Macaca mulatta: one gene and its partner. The protein of the gene in region 1 interacts with the protein of each later gene in a pairwise test. Links are inferred from orthologs where the notes say so. Each region holds a gene or a part of one and is shown in the gene's direction. Other genes may lie near its edges.

The links.
Region 2: the proteins of CLK3 (region 1) and OAS2 interact in binary tests that used the Homo sapiens proteins (3 or more experiments, as listed by UniProt). The two-hybrid records come from large-scale screens. The link is inferred for Macaca mulatta from reciprocal best matches to the Homo sapiens genes CLK3 and OAS2.

The regions. Positions count from the first base shown.
Region 1 is NC_133412.1:52,562,328-52,565,243, forward strand, and holds part of CLK3 (dual specificity protein kinase CLK3), read left to right. Parts: intron 1-687; coding exon 688-854; intron 855-2,203; coding exon 2,204-2,298; intron 2,299-2,390; coding exon 2,391-2,520; intron 2,521-2,816; coding exon 2,817-2,899; intron 2,900-2,916. UniProt on the Homo sapiens protein: Dual specificity kinase acting on both serine/threonine and tyrosine-containing substrates. Phosphorylates serine- and arginine-rich (SR) proteins of the spliceosomal complex.
Region 2 is NC_133416.1:120,223,825-120,228,332, forward strand, and holds the start of OAS2 (2'-5'-oligoadenylate synthase 2), read left to right. Parts: upstream 1-1,504; 5' UTR 1,505-1,804; coding exon 1,805-1,981; intron 1,982-4,508.

The DNA.
Region 1 (2,916 bases):
CTCCCCACACTCAGAGCCAGGGGAGTGTGGCAAAGGTCTTGCTGGAAGCCTTTAGACTGCAGTCCAGGCTCCACCTCAGCTGGCTCTGTGGCCCGAGGCAGGCCTCCCAGGCCTGCATTTGTGAATTGGGGAGCTCACTGGGTTATGTTTGGCGTAAGACAAGATAAAAACATGAAGCCGTTTGGGGCTTTCACATAGTAGGAGATACCCAAAGGAGGGCCTTTCTGTGGCAAACACACTGAGCACTCTCCTTCACACATTGTGCTGAGCCTGGGCAGATGGGTGAATCCAGCACACCCTCACGAAGCTCAGCAGAGTGGGCAGGTCGAGAAAAGCAGCACCAGTCCTGCAGAGTGCACTAGCACTTTCCATGTCTCCCTCAGCAACTCTGAGGCAGGGCTTCTCCCACATCATAAGTAGGGAAGCTTGGAGGGCTTGTACCAGAACTCTGGACATCTCCCCTACCCACTGCAGGAAGCTTAATCCTTGCCCAGAGCTCATCTGGGGATTGGATGATGGCTGGTGGGGAGAAGTGCTCTTGCTGTGGTTCTCTTGCATTGTGTGTATCTGCGTTCTGGTGTGTGACCCGGTGGCCTAGGAGAGAGTTGGGAACTGTCTTCATCTGAGAGAGGGGGTGAGGCAGGCCCCCAGCACACAGCCTGAGCCCTGCCTATCCTCCTCCTCCAGCCTGTGCGTCTTGATGTCTGACTGGTTCAACTTCCATGGTCACATGTGCATCGCCTTTGAGCTCCTGGGCAAGAACACCTTTGAGTTCCTGAAGGAGAATAACTTCCAGCCTTACCCCCTACCACATGTCCGGCACATGGCCTACCAGCTCTGCCACGCCCTTAGATGTAAGTGTCCACCCTCAAAAGAAGCATGGGCAGCCACATGCCTACAGCCAAGTCATCTGGTTACTTGTCCCCATTCATTCCAGCACGTTACTAACCATTCTTCTGGGCCTGAGGGACACCAGATCCCCTTTGGCGGAAAGGCCTGTCTTCAGGTGGGAATCTCAGTGTGAGGATGGAAAGGTTAGGGCTCCCTCCAGGGACCGCCGGACCAGCCTCTCTACCCCCAGGCACTCAGGAAGAAAACAGAAAAGAACTGCTCCAGAATTGGCCTAACCACCAACCCCACCTCCCTGCTTCATGCATGGGGTAAAAAGGTAGAAGCCTGACCTGACAGGGCCACAGGTCCTGCCCACATGGAGACCCTCTGTGCAACCCTGACTTGTCATCTCCCTGCCAGCCTTGAAAAGCATTTGGTGGTGCCAGGGCTCAGCACTGTAGGATTTGCAGTGGTTGCAGCAGTACAGAAAGGCTCCTTGGTGAAGTTGGTAGACCTTGAGCTAGAATATAGAATAGCTCAAGGTAACCCTGCATCGCTCCCCTACCCTGAGCACTGCTACTTCGTGATAGGCTGCAGGCCACTGGGGTGGGAAGCCCCACATGGATGAGAAGACGGGTGTCTTCCTCCTCCCACAGAATTTGCAAGATGGGACAGGGACAAGGTTTCCAAGCAAGGGGAACAGCTTGGTGAGGCCTGGAGCCTGTTACGGGCTGAGAATTGGCTCCAGTGGAATAGGCTATCATTGGGGAGTCGTGGGCCACACAGTTGTGAGGGTCTTGAGTGCCAGATGGGAGCCTTGAGCTGAAAAGTGACTACAAGCAGGAAGCCACTGTCAGAAGGGGCTGGACGGGAAAGGCTTCCCTGCTCATGACTAGCGATGAGAGGCGGGGCTGGCTTCCTGGGTATGCAACCTATGCACTCAGTCACACAGGACCCTGTGCTTGATTCTTAGTAACTTGAACAGGGGACCTGCATTTTCATTTTGCAAAGGGCCCTGCAAATTATGTAGCTGGTGCGGGGAAGAGGGAACCAACTCAAGGCTGTTGCTGTAGCTTTGGTGAGAGACAGGTGAGGAGGCCTGGTCTCTGCAGAGGAGAGGTGGAGGGAGGTTTTTCAAATGGCAAATTTCTTTCCCACCCCCCTGCTAAAGTATCAGAACCCTCCAAGGCCTCAAGTACAGACTCTTGAGAGAGAGGCCAGCACAGAGGCAGGCTGCAGTCCAGCTCCCTGCTGAGGTGGGGGTGTGAGGAGCTCTGGCAGTTGCTGGCATTGGAGGAGGGGTCTGGCCTAGCGCTGGCAGGAGAGCCAGCTTCTCATTTGCCTACTTCCCCTTCTTTCCCTGCTCCCTTAGTTCTGCATGAGAATCAGCTGACCCATACAGACTTGAAGCCAGAGAACATCCTGTTTGTGAATTCTGAGTTTGAAACCCTCTACAATGAACACAAGGTATTGGTGGGGGTAAGGGTGAGGCCCTGCTCCAGGGGTGGGTTACCCACTGGTGTGGACTCCTGACCTGGCAGGCCTGCCTTGCTTTTCAGAGCTGTGAGGAGAAGTCAGTGAAGAACACCAGCATCCGAGTGGCTGACTTTGGCAGTGCCACCTTTGACCATGAGCATCACACAACCATTGTGGCCACCCGTCACTATCGCCCACCTGAGGTGATCCTTGGTGAGTGACTGTATGGCCTGTGACCTCGTCACACTGGACTGTTGGGAGGGTATAAACAGAGGCAGTGGCATGCCTGGCAGTCTCTGCCACCCAGGGCAGGCAGAGTTTCTCAGACCAAGAGGCCAGTGTCATGAGACACAGGTGACTGACCTGGTTTTATCTGTCAGCCTTACTGAGAGGGCCTTGTAATGGGATTTGGGCAAGAGTCCTGCCAGCCAGTGTGGTGGCTGCCCTGTGACCTCCAGGCTGGAAGCATAGGGCCAGATCTCACAGCCTCTCCCCATCTTGGCTTTCAGAGCTGGGCTGGGCACAGCCCTGTGACGTCTGGAGCATTGGCTGCATTCTCTTTGAGTACTACCGGGGCTTCACACTCTTCCAGGTACAGCCACCCCACAT
Region 2 (4,508 bases), on another chromosome or scaffold:
ATCTTGTAAATTTTCTCAGCGTTTCAAATTACTTCAAAATAAAGTGTTTTTTAAAGTAACAAATAAAGCACAGGCTTTGGGGTCAGGCAGTGTGTTAGTGTTAGAACCTAGCCTGACAACTTGCTGAGCAGATGTTTCCACCTCTCTGAGCCTCCATGTTCTCATTTGAGAAAGGAGCTTTAAGACTACGCCTGCCCAGCCTGCCTACCTCTCGGTGTTGCAGTAGAAGTTGGATAAGGGCAGGGAAGGCCCTTAATGAGCATGAGCATTAATTGAGGTTTTCCAGAACCAACAGGGTATGTATCTTTATTTTGAGATATTTATTTTAAGGAATTGGCTCATGTGAATGTGGAGGCTGGCAAATCCAAAATCGGCAGGGTAGACTGGCAGGTGGGAGACCCAGGAAGGAGTTCCTGCTGCAAGTGGAGGCCAAGGCAGCCTGCAGCAGAATTCCCTCTTCCTTGAGCGAGCTCAGTCTTTATTCTATTGAGGCCTTCAACTGATGGAATGAGGCCCACCACCTTACAGATGATAATCCGCTTTACTCAGAAAAAAAGTCTACCAATGTAAATGCTAACCTCATCTTAAAAAACACCTTCACAATAAGATCTAGGATAATGTTTGACCAAATATCTGGGTACCTGGGTTCAGCCAACTTGACACATAAAATTAACCATCCCAGCATGGAAGAGCCCCGGTCCCCCACCTGACATCTTGATGTTTGCCTTCTCTGTGAATTATTCTTTCTGGGCCAAGGCAGCTGTCTGGGAGTTCTCTGCGAGTTTTGTTTTCAAAGCTCTGGGCACAGGAGTTGCATGTCTCTCTCCTTTCTGGCTCACGCACTTGGGGCGTGTTTTCTTGCCCTTGAGGGGCTGGGCAAGTGCCTCATATGGTCCCACGGCTGTCCACAAGTGTGCTGAGAAACTGGACACACAGAGGCTCCCACCCGCTGACCACTCCGGGGCCTGTGTTTACACAGAAGCAGACCAAAACCTGAGTCCAGTTAGGTCCCTGCTTTGCTGTGTCCCTGAGCAAGTCAGTTTCCTCTCTGAGTCTCTTTCTCCTCTGCTCCTCTCCCTGAATCTGAGTTCCCCGGTCACTGAGAACAGGGCGAAAGGGACAGAGCCTCAAAAGATGACCTGTGCCCCCTGCTTCTAAGCACTTTGCAGGTATTATTTAATCATCAAGCTAATCCTATGAAAGAGCTGCCACTTTCCCCAGCTTACAGATGGGGAAATTGAGGCGCAAAGAGGGCAGGTGATGTTCCCAAGAACAGATGTCTAGCAGGTATGAAGCCCTCATAATGGGGTTCTAGAGGCTGTTTGGTTAACCTCAAGTTTTGGGGAGCCCCTGAAGGGCTGTTCACCATGCTGCAGGGCACAGGGAAAGCGTCTGAGCTTGAGTCAGTTTTGGTTTCCCTGCTGGGGTGCAGGAGTCGGTAAACCTTGCTGCAAGGGGAAGGCGAAAGCCTCTGAGCTTAAGTTAGTTTTGGTTTCCCTGCTCCGGACGCAGGAGTTGGTAAACTCGCTGCAGGGGGCAGGGCAGGGCCTCTGAGCTTAAGTTAGTTTTCGTTTCCCTGCCCCGGATGCAGGAGGTGGTAGCTCACTGCAGGGGCAGGGCAGAGCCTCTGAGCTTAAGTTAGTTTTCGTTTCCCTGCCCCGGATGCAGGAGTTGGTAGCTCGCTGCAGCGGGTGGAGAGAGGCCTCTAGACTTCAGTTTCTGTTTCCTGTCTCTGGGCAGCAGCGAGAATTCCTCTGCCTCCCATTCTGCCATTCATTGTCTTGCCGGCAGCCAGCTGAGAGCAATGGGAAATGGGGGGTCCCAGCTGTCCTCGGTGCCTGCTCAGAAGCTGGGTGGGTTTATCCAGGAATACCTGAAGCCCTACGAAGAGTGTCAGACACTGATCGACGACATGGTGAACACCATCTGTGATGTCCTGCAGGCACCCAACCAGTTCCCCCTGGTGCAAGGAGTGGCCATTGTGAGTCCAGGGCTGAGGTTGGGGCTATGGGGGGCAGGAAATTCCACAGCGGCAGCAAGGCCGAGCTACTGGGTGCTGGGCGCCTATTATGTGTGAAGCCCACACTTGGGTGGGATGTGGTGTAGGAGTTTCAGGCTCTGGAGCAGGCTCTTGCTCCAGAGCTGTGTGACACTGGGCAGGCTACCTAACCTCTCTGTGCCTCAGTCTCTGAATCTGTAAAATGGGGAGAGGCATAGTACCCACTTCAGAGTATCATAAGGCTTGAGCGCATCACATTCTTAGCAAAAGACTGGCACATAGTGCTCAGTGAACTCACCGTGATTACTCACTGCCATTTTCTTCTGTCCTTTCCACAGTACAGAGGAGTAAACTTATGGAGGCTAGAGAACTTTGATCAGACTATCCAGGTTGCCTTCTGGTTTCTTCGCAGCAAGGAGTGGCTTTCATCAGTTAGAAATATTTAGTTTTGTGGACACAAATCTCAGGACTGAGGCTGAAAATTCTGGACCTCTGGGGAGGAAGGGGGATTGGGGAGGTGCCAGGACCCTAGAATTGGGGGTGTGGGGGTCCTCATGGCCCAATACTACCCTCTTACCTTTCTGCGCTGCTGACGTCCCTTCTCTGCTGGTGCCACGCTTTTTGGTCTCTACCCCTTGCACACACCAGCTAGTGCCGCAATAAAGAAATCTAGACATGTGGTGTCCCCAGCCCTGGCTCAGGAAGCTAAGGCAAGTTTGGTTAACAGCTGTTGTCAGAACTGGGATTTTAAGCCTGGGTAACTGACTTGAGGGCATGCATGTTTAACCACTACACTATCCTGCCTCTCAATAGTGTTAACATTTTTCCTCACTGAAGTAAAACAGAAAAACTGCCCAGATCAAAGTGTCCAGCTTGATAGGTAGCCACAAACAATGTAACTGTGTAGCCCCCACCCAGATCCAGAAACAAAACATTCTCAGCGCCCCAGAACCCTGGGCCCCCAATCCAATCAATACCTCCAAACCCAAGTAGGCAATCTCCTGACTTCTAATAGCATAGACACCTTTTACCTGTTTTTAAACTTTTTACGAATATAGGGTGACCAACTATCGCAGTTTGTCCAGGATTGGGGTGTTTCCTGGGATGTGGGACTTTTGGTGCCAAAACTGGGAATGTAAACCAGGATGCATGGGTGACCCTATATAAATGGCGTCATGGGCTCTGTGTGCTTTAGTGCATGGTTTCTCTGACCGAAGATGTTTATGAAATTTATGTTGTGGAGTGCAGTTGTTTATCTTTTCACTGTTGTGTCAATTCCATTGTGTGAATATACCACATTTGTCCATTCTACTGCTTTTTAGTTTTACATAATTGTACATATTTATATGAGGTACACGTGATAGTTGAACATATGGATATAATGTGAAATGATCAAGTCAGGGTAGTTAGGATATCTGTCATCTCAAACATTTATCATTTCTTTGTGTTGAGGACAGTTCAGATCTTCTCTTCTAGCTATTTTGAAATATATAATAAATTATTGTTAACTATAGTCACCCCATTGTGCTATCAAACACTAGAATTTATTCCTTCTATCTAACTGTATGTTTGTATCCATTAACCAACTTCTCTTCATTTCCTTCTCCACTCCCCAGCCTCTGGTAACTATGATCCTACTCTCTACCTCCATGAGATCAACTTTTTTTTAACTTCCACATAAGCACATGCAATAATTGTCTTTCTATGCCTGACTTATTTCATTTAACATAATGACCTATAGTTCCATCCACATTGCTGCAAATGACAGAATTCCATTCTTTTTGTGTCTGAATAGTATTCTATCGTGTATATATATCACATTGTCTTTATCCATTCATCCGCTGATGGATATGTTGGTTGATTACATATCTTGGCTTTTGTGAATAGTACTGCAATAAACATAGGGGTACAGTTATCCCTTTTTTGGATAAATACCTAGTAGTGGGATTGCTGGATCGAATGGTAATGCCATTTTTAGTTTTTGAGAAACCTCCATACTGTTTTCCATAATGACTGTCCTAATTTAAATTCCCACCAACAGTGTGTAAGATTCCCTTTACTCCAAATTCTTGCTAGCATTTGTTATTTTTTGTCTTTTTGATAATAGCTATTCTAACTGGGGTGATATGATATCTCATTGTGGTTTTGATTTGCATTTCCCTAATGATAAGTGATGTCAAGCATTTTTTCACATACCCATTGACCATTTTGTATGTCTTCTTTTGAGAAATGTCTATTTAGTTCCTTTGCCTGCTTTTTAAATGGGATGGGTTGTTTTCTTTGCTGTTGAGTTGTTCAAGTTCCTTGTATATTCTGGATATTAAACCCTTTTTTGGAAAAATAGTTTCCAAATATTTTCTGCCATTCTACAGTTTGTCTTTTCAGTCTTGATTGTTCCCTTTGCCATGCAGAAGCTTTTCCATTTAATATAGTCCCAATTGTCTATTTTTGGTTTTGTTGCCTGTGCTTTTGAAGTCTTAGCCACAAAATCTTTGCATAGACCAATATC